Rattus norvegicus: one gene and its partners. The protein of the gene in region 3 interacts with the protein of the main gene of each other region in a biochemical or structural test. Links are inferred from orthologs where the notes say so. Each region holds a gene or a part of one and is shown on either strand. Other genes may lie near its edges. The genes, in order: Notch1, Notch2 and Jag1.

The links.
Region 1: the proteins of Jag1 (region 3) and Notch1 form a complex in vitro, tested with the Homo sapiens proteins (3 studies listed by BioGRID and IntAct, with this or other methods). The link is inferred for Rattus norvegicus from reciprocal best matches to the Homo sapiens genes JAG1 and NOTCH1.
Region 2: the proteins of Jag1 (region 3) and Notch2 form a complex in vitro, tested with the Homo sapiens proteins (2 studies listed by BioGRID). The link is inferred for Rattus norvegicus from reciprocal best matches to the Homo sapiens genes JAG1 and NOTCH2.

Annotation. Positions count from the first base shown.
Region 1 is NC_086021.1:29,718,715-29,723,050, reverse strand, and holds the start of Notch1 (neurogenic locus notch homolog protein 1 precursor), read left to right. Parts: upstream 1-1,437; 5' UTR 1,438-1,663; coding exon 1,664-1,724; intron 1,725-3,229; coding exon 3,230-3,308; intron 3,309-4,336. UniProt on the Homo sapiens protein: Functions as a receptor for membrane-bound ligands Jagged-1 (JAG1), Jagged-2 (JAG2) and Delta-1 (DLL1) to regulate cell-fate determination.
Region 2 is NC_086020.1:188,421,262-188,424,911, forward strand, and holds part of Notch2 (neurogenic locus notch homolog protein 2 precursor), read left to right. Parts: intron 1-78; coding exon 79-289; intron 290-1,006; coding exon 1,007-1,103; intron 1,104-2,412; coding exon 2,413-2,581; intron 2,582-3,650. UniProt on the Homo sapiens protein: Functions as a receptor for membrane-bound ligands Jagged-1 (JAG1), Jagged-2 (JAG2) and Delta-1 (DLL1) to regulate cell-fate determination.
Region 3 is NC_086021.1:144,858,934-144,861,549, reverse strand, and holds the end of Jag1 (protein jagged-1 precursor), read left to right. Parts: intron 1-78; coding exon 79-539; 3' UTR 540-2,097; downstream 2,098-2,616. UniProt on the Homo sapiens protein: Ligand for multiple Notch receptors and involved in the mediation of Notch signaling. May be involved in cell-fate decisions during hematopoiesis. Seems to be involved in early and late stages of mammalian cardiovascular development.

The DNA of each region.
Region 1 (4,336 bases), about 120 Mb from region 3:
TCAGCCACTCCCCCAGACTCCAGAAGGATGAGGCCTTCTTTGTATCCAAGTCAGGTTGGGTAGCACGTGCTGGTGAAGCTGGAAAAGAGTTGCCACACACCCAGACAGCCAGAGGCCTTCAGGACCCATCTCAGAAGGGGCACTTGAGAGCCAGACGTTCCTTCTATGGAAACTGCTCTCCGGGGCTGCAGATCTCTTATATAAATATTTCTGTAGCATTGGGCGATTTTTCTCGCGGGTGTTGACCCCGTGTTGCCAACCCCCAGGCTTGAGGCCAGCTTCTGAGAGGAGCAGGAGAGGGGGGGTCTGGACAGCTGTTGGCACTGGCCCTTCAGTGCCTTCTAGAGACAGGTGTGGCAAGGGAGATGGGAGGCTCGTAGGACAATATAAGCCTGGGCCCTTACCCTGTGTCACACTCACCATCCTGTTTTGGGATGGGAAGGTGTTGTTTGTGCCAAATTCCATTGAATTTTGGCCGCAAAGGGATTAGGAAGATATCTTGGATGTCCAGTGCTAAGCAGCTTAGCACAGGATGTCCAAACCTCAAGGTGGAGAGATTTAAAACACGAGAAGAAGCTGGCGCTAGCATCATTGTAATGGGACAGCACTTTTCCGGGCCACCTAAGTGGCAGAGCCAGGGACCAGTGAGAAGAGTTACCGTGGAACGTCTAGACTCGGGTCCCTGCTGGGACTGGAGAGCGCAATCTGTCTAGCAAGGCACCGGTCCTTGGGGAGTTCCCTTGGGGAGCCCCGAGCTCCCTTCTACAGAGGCTGCGGGCGCGATGCCACCATCCTTTAAGGTCAAGCGTTCCGGAAGTCATGGCTAAGAGTGCCTGGCCTCAATCCTCCTGATGCCTATAGCCAAGACCAAACGACTCCCAAGAGTGGAGCCCCAGGGTTAGGACGCACGAAACGCTGTCAGGGTGCCACATCTAAACTCCTGCCCCGGGAGTCCCCAAAACTTGACTTCAGCTGATCCTGCCCACGGCCCCAGACCTAACTCCAGGGTAGAGCTGGTTCCTGGTGCAGCTACGCCTTTCCCACCAGACCCGCACCTCCTCTACTATTGAAATGCAAATTCTGGCCAAATGTCGCCAAGGGCCGCTACACACAAAACCTGATCCTTCCGCAGCCCCAGTTCAAACTTTTGGTCTATGTAAACTTTCGAACAAGAAGTAGTCCCTAGGTGCCTGTTCCCTACACCATGCCTTCTTGTCTTGTGAACCATAAGATCCTGACTAGAGACGCTCTCCCTAGCCCGGGGAGGCGCAGAGCCCACCAAAGCGTTGAGAGAGACAGGGTCCACAAGGGGAGTAAGGGTGCGCAGGAACCGGGGGCGGAGCGCGGTGGGATGGGGCGGGGCAGGGGCGGGCCCGCACGGGGGCGGAGCGCACGCCTGCCCTGAGCCTCACTAGTGCCTCTGCCGCGGGAGGGAGCGCAGGGGCGTGGGGCGCAGGGCGCGGGTGCGAGCGCAGTGAAGGAACGAGCCTGGGTGCCTGTAGTGCCGGGGAGACCCTGAGAGCCCAGCGCCGCCCACCCGCCAGGAAAGAGGGCAGCAGCGGGTGGACGCCCGCGGGACCGCCCGTGGTGCGCGTGAACGTCCGATCCCCGCCGGCCACCGCAAGAGGCCGCCGCCCCGGCAGCGGGCAGCTGGCGAGCAGGCATGCCGCGGCTCCTGGCGCCCTTGCTCTGCCTAACGCTGCTGCCCGCGCTCGCCGCAAGAGGTAGGCGCCCGCGAGCCCGCAACTTCGGGCGCCCTTCGGAAACTTCTGGTGCGCCCTGCGCACTCTCTGGGTAGATAGGATTAAGGGACCAGATGCCAGAGCGGGTGGACGGGACATGGAACCTGATGTCCTGGTGTATGAGAGGGACTCCTCCTTCCAGGGGTACCGATTTTTCTCATAGCGCCCAAAGACGCTGAAAGTTTGGTATGGGGCTCTGGGGCTTCGAGGCCGGGTGGCCCGGGAGGCCCAGCCCTGGCTCGCACTTGGGCAGACACTCCTGGGGCTCGCCTCGGGGGCGGACATGCTGCTTGCGCCTGCTACTTTTCGATTTGAATCGAATCGGTTTTGGTTTCCTGTTGCTTCTTGGGACCATTTATTTTCTTTCTTTTTTGCCTCCGGCCCGTGCTGGGGCGGATGTTGGGGTGCAGTATGAGGTCAGGGGCGCTATGCTCGCGTTGCTTACTTAGAGCAGGGCGGAGACGATGTGCCCTGACTTCTAGTATGGGGTTTCAGGATCACTGTCCCCTAGCCGGAATCAAACTTTAGAAGAGGGGCGATGTGCAAGCGGCAGCCTAGGGTGGGGGTGGGACTGACTCACTTTGGAAGTTTGGAAATCCTGCGCCGATTGGAACGGGGGTGGGGGGGGGCGCTTATTTCCCTGCCGGCTCCAGGAACTGGGGACTCCTGTCGTAGTAACCAACTGCACTCTTCTCCCAGTAGTTGGAGAGAACTGCCTACCCTTTCCTTAAAAGTGGGGTTTTATGTGATGCTCCAGTTTGGCCCCCACTTCGGGGCTTAATTTCTTAAGATGGGGTGGGAGGGGCTTGATTAATAGCCCCTTCCCGAGAATAGGGTGGAATTCCTTCTAAGTGAGGTTTCTAAGACCCCCTCCCTGGGTGCGGCGGGGGCTGCCCCTGGAGATGCCTGCGAACAGGTATTGGGTGTCGGAGGAGGCGGGGCAGGTCTCCGGGTGCGGCCCCGCTGCCCCAGGAGGCGGCCCTGGCGCGACAATGGGCCGCTCTGATTCCCGGGCCGGCGCTTTGTTGGAGGGCGGGGTGGCGGGCTCCGCAGCTGTCGCTTTTTCCCACGATCCGGGGAGCTGAGTGTGGCCACCCCCTCCCTCCTGCGGCCCCCTCGTATCTTGTGTTTGAACTGAAGCAAGGGTGGAGGTTGGTCGGGGGCTTTTTCTGGGCTCCTTAATCCACTCCCACTTCGACTGCGTGGTTAGAAGTTTGGGAGAATTTCCTAAGTTTTTCTGTTGCCGTCCACTTCGCCTCACTGTGAATGGGGCTGTACACCTGCCACATAGCCAGCCTATCCCTTCCCCACTAGTTTTTGACTGCCACGCTGTGAGCAGAACATTGATCCGTAAGGGCTACCCAGAAGCTCCCCCTCCCACGCTTCACCTCCGGACTGCCAGTAACTCTAGTACATAGGCACCATGGCTTTAGTCTCCGTCCACCGGCAGGACCGAGACTGACCTCTCTCTTCTGACCCTTTCCCAGGCTTGAGATGCTCCCAGCCAAGTGGGACCTGCCTGAATGGAGGGAGGTGCGAAGTGGCCAACGGCACTGAAGCCTGTGTGTGAGTACCGCCCCTGAGGGGACCTGTTGCTTTTGTCAGAGCAGAGCCCCTGCCTTCTGGGGACAGAACACTGGGCTATTGTCTTCGGAAGACAGCCCAGAGGTTGAGTGCAGTCACGTGCTGACTTTTATTGGACAAAGTCTGGCAATTACTTAATCACCAGCAATTATGCCTCGTGTGGAGCTACTCTGGCCCCTGGAGGTTGGCACGCTCCCTCGTGGGCCCTCAGGCTCCTGGGAATCCACGGCACCCTAATTCCTGTTTAAAATACTTGAGAAACAGTTGTTTTTGGTGATGAGACTGAAAGTCTGAGCCCCCGCCCCTTGTCACCTGAGATCCCATTCTGAGCAAGAGTGCCCTAGGTAGGAAATTGAGTATTGCGTGTGTTCTGGTTTTGTTGGTACTGGTGTTTTGGGTTTTTTTTGTTTGTTTGTTTGTTTGTTTGGTTTTTTTGTAGACAATATCTCACAATGTATCTCTGGCTGTCCTCAAACTTCACTATGTAGACTTTGAACTCAAGAGATCTGCCTGCCTCTGCCCAGTGGAAATTTCCTATTTTAAGACAAGATCCACCTCTCCCTGAGGTTAGGAGAAGTTAGAATGGTCCTTGTTGGTACTGCTGTCTGGGTGGTGGGTGTAAGTGCTGGAGTCTGTCTTCTGTCTTGGCAGCTGCAGCCCCACCTCTGCACTGTGTTCCAGGGGTCCTCAGCCTCAGGCCATCAACTGTGCAGCTGGCGTGATTTGGGGATGGGAAGGAGTAGGCAGCCAGGGGAAGTCTGCTGGTGCTAGGGCTCGTGCCTTTCAACTTGAGCTCCTCCCCGATGAGACTAGCAAGGTGCTGGAAGCTGAGGCCTCCCCTGGAGGCTGGAGACAGAGAAGGCTCCAGCCTGCATGGCGCGCCCTCATTCCAAATGCTGAAGGGCCCATCCCCTTGACAACGGTGCTGCTGCCTCCAGTACCCAGCCTGTGGGCTGCAGCCCCACCTCCCTGGCTGGCCCGCCCTGTACTGAAGCCAATTAAGCTGGTCT
Region 2 (3,650 bases), on a different chromosome or scaffold from region 3:
GACCTCACTGGGGTTCACCCTTGCTGGTAGGAAGAGGTTGCTCTGTCTCCATCACTGTCCCTGTCTCTGAACTTTCAGGTGAATCGGAGGATCCAAGGAACACTCCGCTCCTCTATCTGCTTGCGGTTGCTGTGGTCATTATCCTGTTCCTCATCCTGCTGGGGGTCATCATGGCAAAGCGGAAGCGCAAGCACGGCTTCCTCTGGCTGCCTGAAGGCTTCACGCTTCGCCGAGACTCCAGCAATCACAAGCGCCGTGAACCTGTGGGGCAGGATGCCGTGGGGCTGAAGTAAGGAATTTACAATAAGCCAGTATCCACAGGGAGAAGCAGGGATGAGCAGGAGGGCATATTATGGAATCCTAACTTCAAATTTTCAACCTCCCCTTTATTCGCCCTGACCACAGCTCCTAGTGGCTTGTCCGAGTCTGTGAGCATTGTGTGTACACATATTGCAGCCACACTCAGCGTCTGAGTGGGGGAACACGTTTGATGTGGTCTCTTAGTGAGAAGAGAAAGGATGAGTGCTCAGAAATGTCAAACATTGCCCATCAGGGCTGGTGTGGTGGCTCAGTAGGTGAACGTCTCCCCCGCCCCCACAAGCCTGCTGACCTGTTTGATCCCCGGTACCCGCATGGTAGAAGGATGGAGCTGACGTCCTCATGTTGTGCTGTGAGTGTATGATGTAATGAAAGGGGCTAGAAGGATACCTTGGTAGTCAAGAATATGAACTGACCTGGGTCAGCTCCCAGCACCCATGCTGGGTGGCCTGGCTGTAATTCCAGCTGCAGGGGGATCTGTAGACACCTGAACTCACGTGCTCATATACACACAGACATGCACACTCAATTTTGAAAAATATTACTGTAATTTTGAAAAAGTGCTGTGCATCCGATCCCATTGGACCAAGTCAGAGGCTAACATGAGAGTGTGCGGTGAAGTACAGAAAGCCACTGCGTTTGCCCAGCCATAACCTGTACTCTTGTCTCTCCCCTGAATAATCATCAGGAATCTCTCAGTGCAAGTGTCAGAGGCAAACCTGATCGGCTCCACGACAAGCGAGCATTGGGGTGATGATGAAGGACCCCAGCCAAAGAAAGCCAAGGTAAGCTGTCCTAGGAAAGCCACATTGCCAGCAGTCCTGTGGTCATACTCTCAGTTTATATCTTTCCCAGAGCCCCATGAACAGCGGGGCCGCCGAGCACTGACAGCCTTTGCTGCTCATGTTTGTTCTTGAAGACCCTTTAAAATCGTAAAGCAAGCTGCTGCCGCCTGGCTCAGGGCCTGCGCCTGTGTTCATTGAGTCAGGACTGGTGGTGCGGTGCTCCCAGTTCCATCTACACATACATCCCGCTGCTTCTGTAGGAAGACATGGAGTTACCCAGTGAGGAAAGCCAAGACCGTTAACTTCTTGGGAGATCACCGAGCATGACAGTTAGACCATTGCTTTACACCAGCATTCTAGAGGCTGAGTCAAGGGAATCCAAATTTAAGGACAGCCTCAGCTACCTCTAAAACCAAATAAAGTAAATGAATGCAAACGTATTGCTTTTGTCACCCTGGAAACATACAGATAGCATTACAGACTGAGCGGGCTGTATTTAGGGATATAGACACATTTAACAACAATTAATAATTAAAGAAACCTAGATTTGAAAGAGAGCAAGGAGGTGGTGTATATGGGAGGATTTGGAGAGAGGAAAGAGAAGGGAGAAATGGTGTAATTATATTATAATCTCCAAAAAATCAAAGAGCCATTGCTCTGGTCAGGCAGAAGCCTCGTTGTATTTAGTATTCCGTGTCTGCAAGACAGCAGCAGCAGCCGCAATGGCTCTCTCTCTGAGTTGCTGATTCTCCCCATGCTCTCCTCAGTACTCACTCCGGGCGAGTACTGTCTTACGTGCAGGCAGGCAACCTTGGACAGGGTTTATCCCCCTTCTTGAGAACCTTCCAGGTGAAAGAAAAGTAAAGTAGCGTGTGCTTTCTCTCACGTGGAGCCTGTATTTAACTATGTACATAGACAGACAGAGCTGATGCACAGGGGCCGTCTGGAGGGAAGACGGGAAGGGGTGAGAGGTGACTGTGCCAGCCAAGTGCAGTGGCAGGTTTGTAACGAACCCGCTGCTCTGCACACTAAGTCCTTTTAAAGAAGGAAAGATGGCGTCTGGTTGGCTGGTGGTGATGCAGTGCCAGGTAGCACTTACCACGTGGTCAGCTGAGGAAACAGAAACCACTGTTAAAGGCCAACGAGACTAAAATCTTGTTTTATTTGAAGAGCAAATAGGAGTCAAACAAGACGCAGGCGACCACCATAAGCAGGTTAGAAGAGATAGTGGAAGACTGCCACTCCTCAGCCTCACCAGCGTAACCCGGAGGGCTCAGGTTAATGAGGGGAAACTGTTTACCCCACCTAGGCTGAGGACGACGAGGCTTTGCTGTCGGAAGACGACCCTGTCGACCGGCGCCCCTGGACACAGCAGCACCTTGAAGCTGCAGACATCCGCCGGACTCCATCCCTGGCGCTCACCCCTCCTCAGGCAGAGCAGGAGGTGGACGTGCTGGACGTGAATGTCCGAGGCCCAGGTCAGTGGTGGGCCTTACCATCTTGAGTTCTGTGTGGTTGGGTGAGCATTTCTTGTGCTGATTCCAGACACTAAGTGAGCGTGAGGAAATGAATGCATGAGAAATACAGCCATGTGGGGATTATGAGCCTGGGGACAATGACATTGGCTGCCCAGTGGGTAAAAGTATTTTCCATGGAAGCCTGACCACCTGAATTCAACCTCAGAGTCCGTGTCAAAGTTGGACAGAGTTGTCCTGTGGCCTCCATATGCATGTTACGGCACTTGTGTGCTTGTGCATACATGCATGTGTTCACACACACACACACACACACACACACACACACACACACGCCATACGCATATGTGTGCATATCATCCACATACAATGAGATACATAAATATTTAGTATTTTTAAATTACGGGCTCAGTGGTTAAAGAGCACTTGTGGCTTTGACAGAGAACCTGGTTCCAGTTCCCAGCACCATATGGTGATGTACTTCTTCAGTTCCAGTGGCTCCAACACCATTTCCTACCCTGCATGTGAACCATGCGCACGGTTCAGAAATCCATGTAGGCAAAACACTCATACTCACTGAATAAATCCTTAACTGTGTTTTCCATTGAAAATGCAGATTTCAAAGAAAGGGATTTTGCAGTGTTTCTTGTACAGCATACTGAGGGCAAGCAGGCTAATTAAACAAGTTAGATTCTGGGGGGTGGGGGGTGTTAGAAAAATACTATCTGTCTCCATCACGGGTTCCTTGCTGTAAAGAGACACTGACCAAGAGAGGGAGACAGACAGACAGACAGACAGACAGACAGACAGACTGGGCCTGGCATGGGCTTTTGAAACCTCGAAGTTCACCCCGCAGTGACACACTTCCTCCAACAAGAGCACACCTCCCAATCCTTCTAAGTAGTGTCACTCCCTGTTAACCAAGCATTCAAACCTATGTTTGTGAGGGCCATTCCCATTCATGCCACCACTGCACCCCACAGCAGAAGGCGACTGCCATCCCTGCTTTACATCACTGCACAGGTTTATTTATGTTTCTGTATAAAATGCTGTCTAGTTTGAAATGTCCTAA
Region 3 (2,616 bases):
GGCCTCTGTTGGTATTCTTCTGCCCCCATGGCGAAAGCGCTTCCTTTTGAGTTAACTGGTCTTTTGGCTGTCTTACAGATTTCCTGGTTCCTCTGCTGAGCTCTGTCTTAACAGTGGCTTGGGTCTGTTGCTTGGTGACAGCCTTCTACTGGTGTGTGCGGAAGCGGCGGCGGAAGCCCAGCAGCCACACCCACTCTGCCCCTGAGGACAACACCACCAACAATGTGCGCGAACAGCTGAACCAAATCAAAAACCCCATCGAGAAACACGGAGCCAACACAGTCCCCATCAAGGATTATGAGAACAAAAACTCCAAAATGTCAAAAATCAGGACACACAACTCGGAAGTGGAAGAGGATGATATGGATAAGCACCAGCAGAAAGTCCGGTTTGCCAAACAGCCCGTGTACACGCTGGTAGACAGAGAGGAGAAGGCCCCCAGCGGCACGCCGACAAAACACCCGAACTGGACAAACAAACAGGACAACAGAGACTTGGAAAGTGCCCAGAGCTTGAACCGGATGGAGTACATCGTATAGCAGACAGTGGGCTGCCGCCATAGGTAGAGTTTGAGGGCACCCCGGGGCTTGTAGTTTCTTTAAACTGTTGTCGTATCCCAGTCTGAGGCTGTTGTTGACTTAGAGTCCTGTGTTAATTTAAGTTTCGACAAGCTGGCTTCCACTGGCACTGGTAGTTTCTGTGGTTGGCTGGGAAATCGAGTGCAGCGCTCACAGCTATGCAAAAACCAGTGAATGTGCCCGGGTGTACATTCCCCTGCAGCCGACACGTCGGGCTCCCAGGAGCTGCCCAGGCCTAGGCCTCGGAGCTTCCACATCTGCCAGCGGTCCTAATGGTGATGGCAGCCTTAGGATCATAGTTTTATTTATATTTATTGACTCTTGAGTTGTTTTTGTATATTGGTTTTATGATGACGTACAAGTAGTTCTGTATTTGAAAGTGCCTTTGCAGCTCAGAACCACAGCAACTATCACAAATGACTTTATTATTTATTTTTTTTATTGTATTTTTGTTGTTGGGGGAGGGGGGGATTTGATGTCAGCAGTTGCTGGTAAAATGAAGAATTTAAAGAGGAAAAATGTGTCAAAGTAGAATTTTTGTATAGTTATGTAAATAATTCTTTTTTATTAATCACTCTGTATATTTGATTTATTAACTTAATAATCAAGAGCCTTAAAACATCATTCCTTTTTATTTATATGTATGTGTTTAGAATTGAAGGTTTTTGATAGTGTTGGAAACATATGGCTTTTTTTTTTTTTTTTTTTTTTTTTTTTTGTGAACTTTTTCTCATTACGTGTTGCCTGTAAGCCAAAAGTAAGGTGTTTGGAAATAGTTTCTCTTGGAAGGATGGGATAGGCTTCTTCCCCTGGGAATACTGATGGATTTTTTTTTTTTTTTTTTTTTTTTTGTACGACGTCAGGTGTTCAAACACTTCCTTGATAGCATCACTTTAAGACACATTCTAAGGACTGACTGAGGCAGATTGAGAATTCGTCTAGAACAGGTTTTTTTTTTTTTTTCTCTTTTCTTTTTTTATTTTTTCCTGCTTTAGACTTGAAAAGAGACAGGCAGGCGATCTGTGACAGAGCAGTTTAAGGGAACAAACTGAGCTATGTAGTCAGAATGTGACTGGTTGGATCTCATTAAAAGTATCAGATTGTGTGAAGTTGGAAGCTTACCAATCTTACTTTGTAAATTCTGATTTCTTTTCACCATTCGTATGTAATGCTGAACCACTTGTAGATTTGATTTCATTGTTGTTGTCTACTGCATTTAGGGAGTATTCTAATAAGCTAGATGAATACTTGAACCATAAAATGTCCAGTTAGAGCACTGTTTAGATTGGCCATAGAGTACACTGCCTGCCTTAAGTGAGGACATGAAAGTGCTATTACCAAGTTCAAGATCAAACAAGGCTTATAAAACAGTCATCCTGGCTCACCACGGAGCCCAGGAAGATACTTTGTATTGTCCTATTAGTGTTATATGAACATAAAATACATCTTTGATGTGTTGTTCCTGGCAATAAATTTTGAAAAGTGATATTTATTAAATTTTTTGTATGAAAACCTGGAACAGTGTGGAGTCTTCTGAGCTGGCTTTTGCACCCTGCTGTTTGGCACTGCTCATTCGGAGGACATAGCCTAGGAAAAGGGGCGGGGGTGAAGCAAATAGCAAAACTTCCTAGTACTCAAAAACCAAGGCTGCTGTGTAGGCAGGAGCCATAGGGTCAGCCCCCCCCCCCCCATTCCCTTGTCATTTGATAAGTGTGAATACTGTGTAAATAAATACCACTGCATTAATGGCTTGCAGTGTGCAGGGGAATTGTTTGGGAGCACTCCCAGGGAGTGCCCACTGCACTAACAGGGTTAAACAGATTTGGTATTGAGGTGAAGGAGGGAGACTGCGCTTTCTCTCTCTCTCTCTCTCTCTCTCTCTCTCTCTCTCTCTCTCTCTCTCTCTCTCTCTCTCTCTCCACCATTTGGATTGGATTAATAGTAATTCCTTGCAGTCATTACAGACCACACCCTATGGCTCTGTGTGTACACTTATCTTCAGTGGGTCTCTTTGCCACTATGTGGGTAGACTAATGTT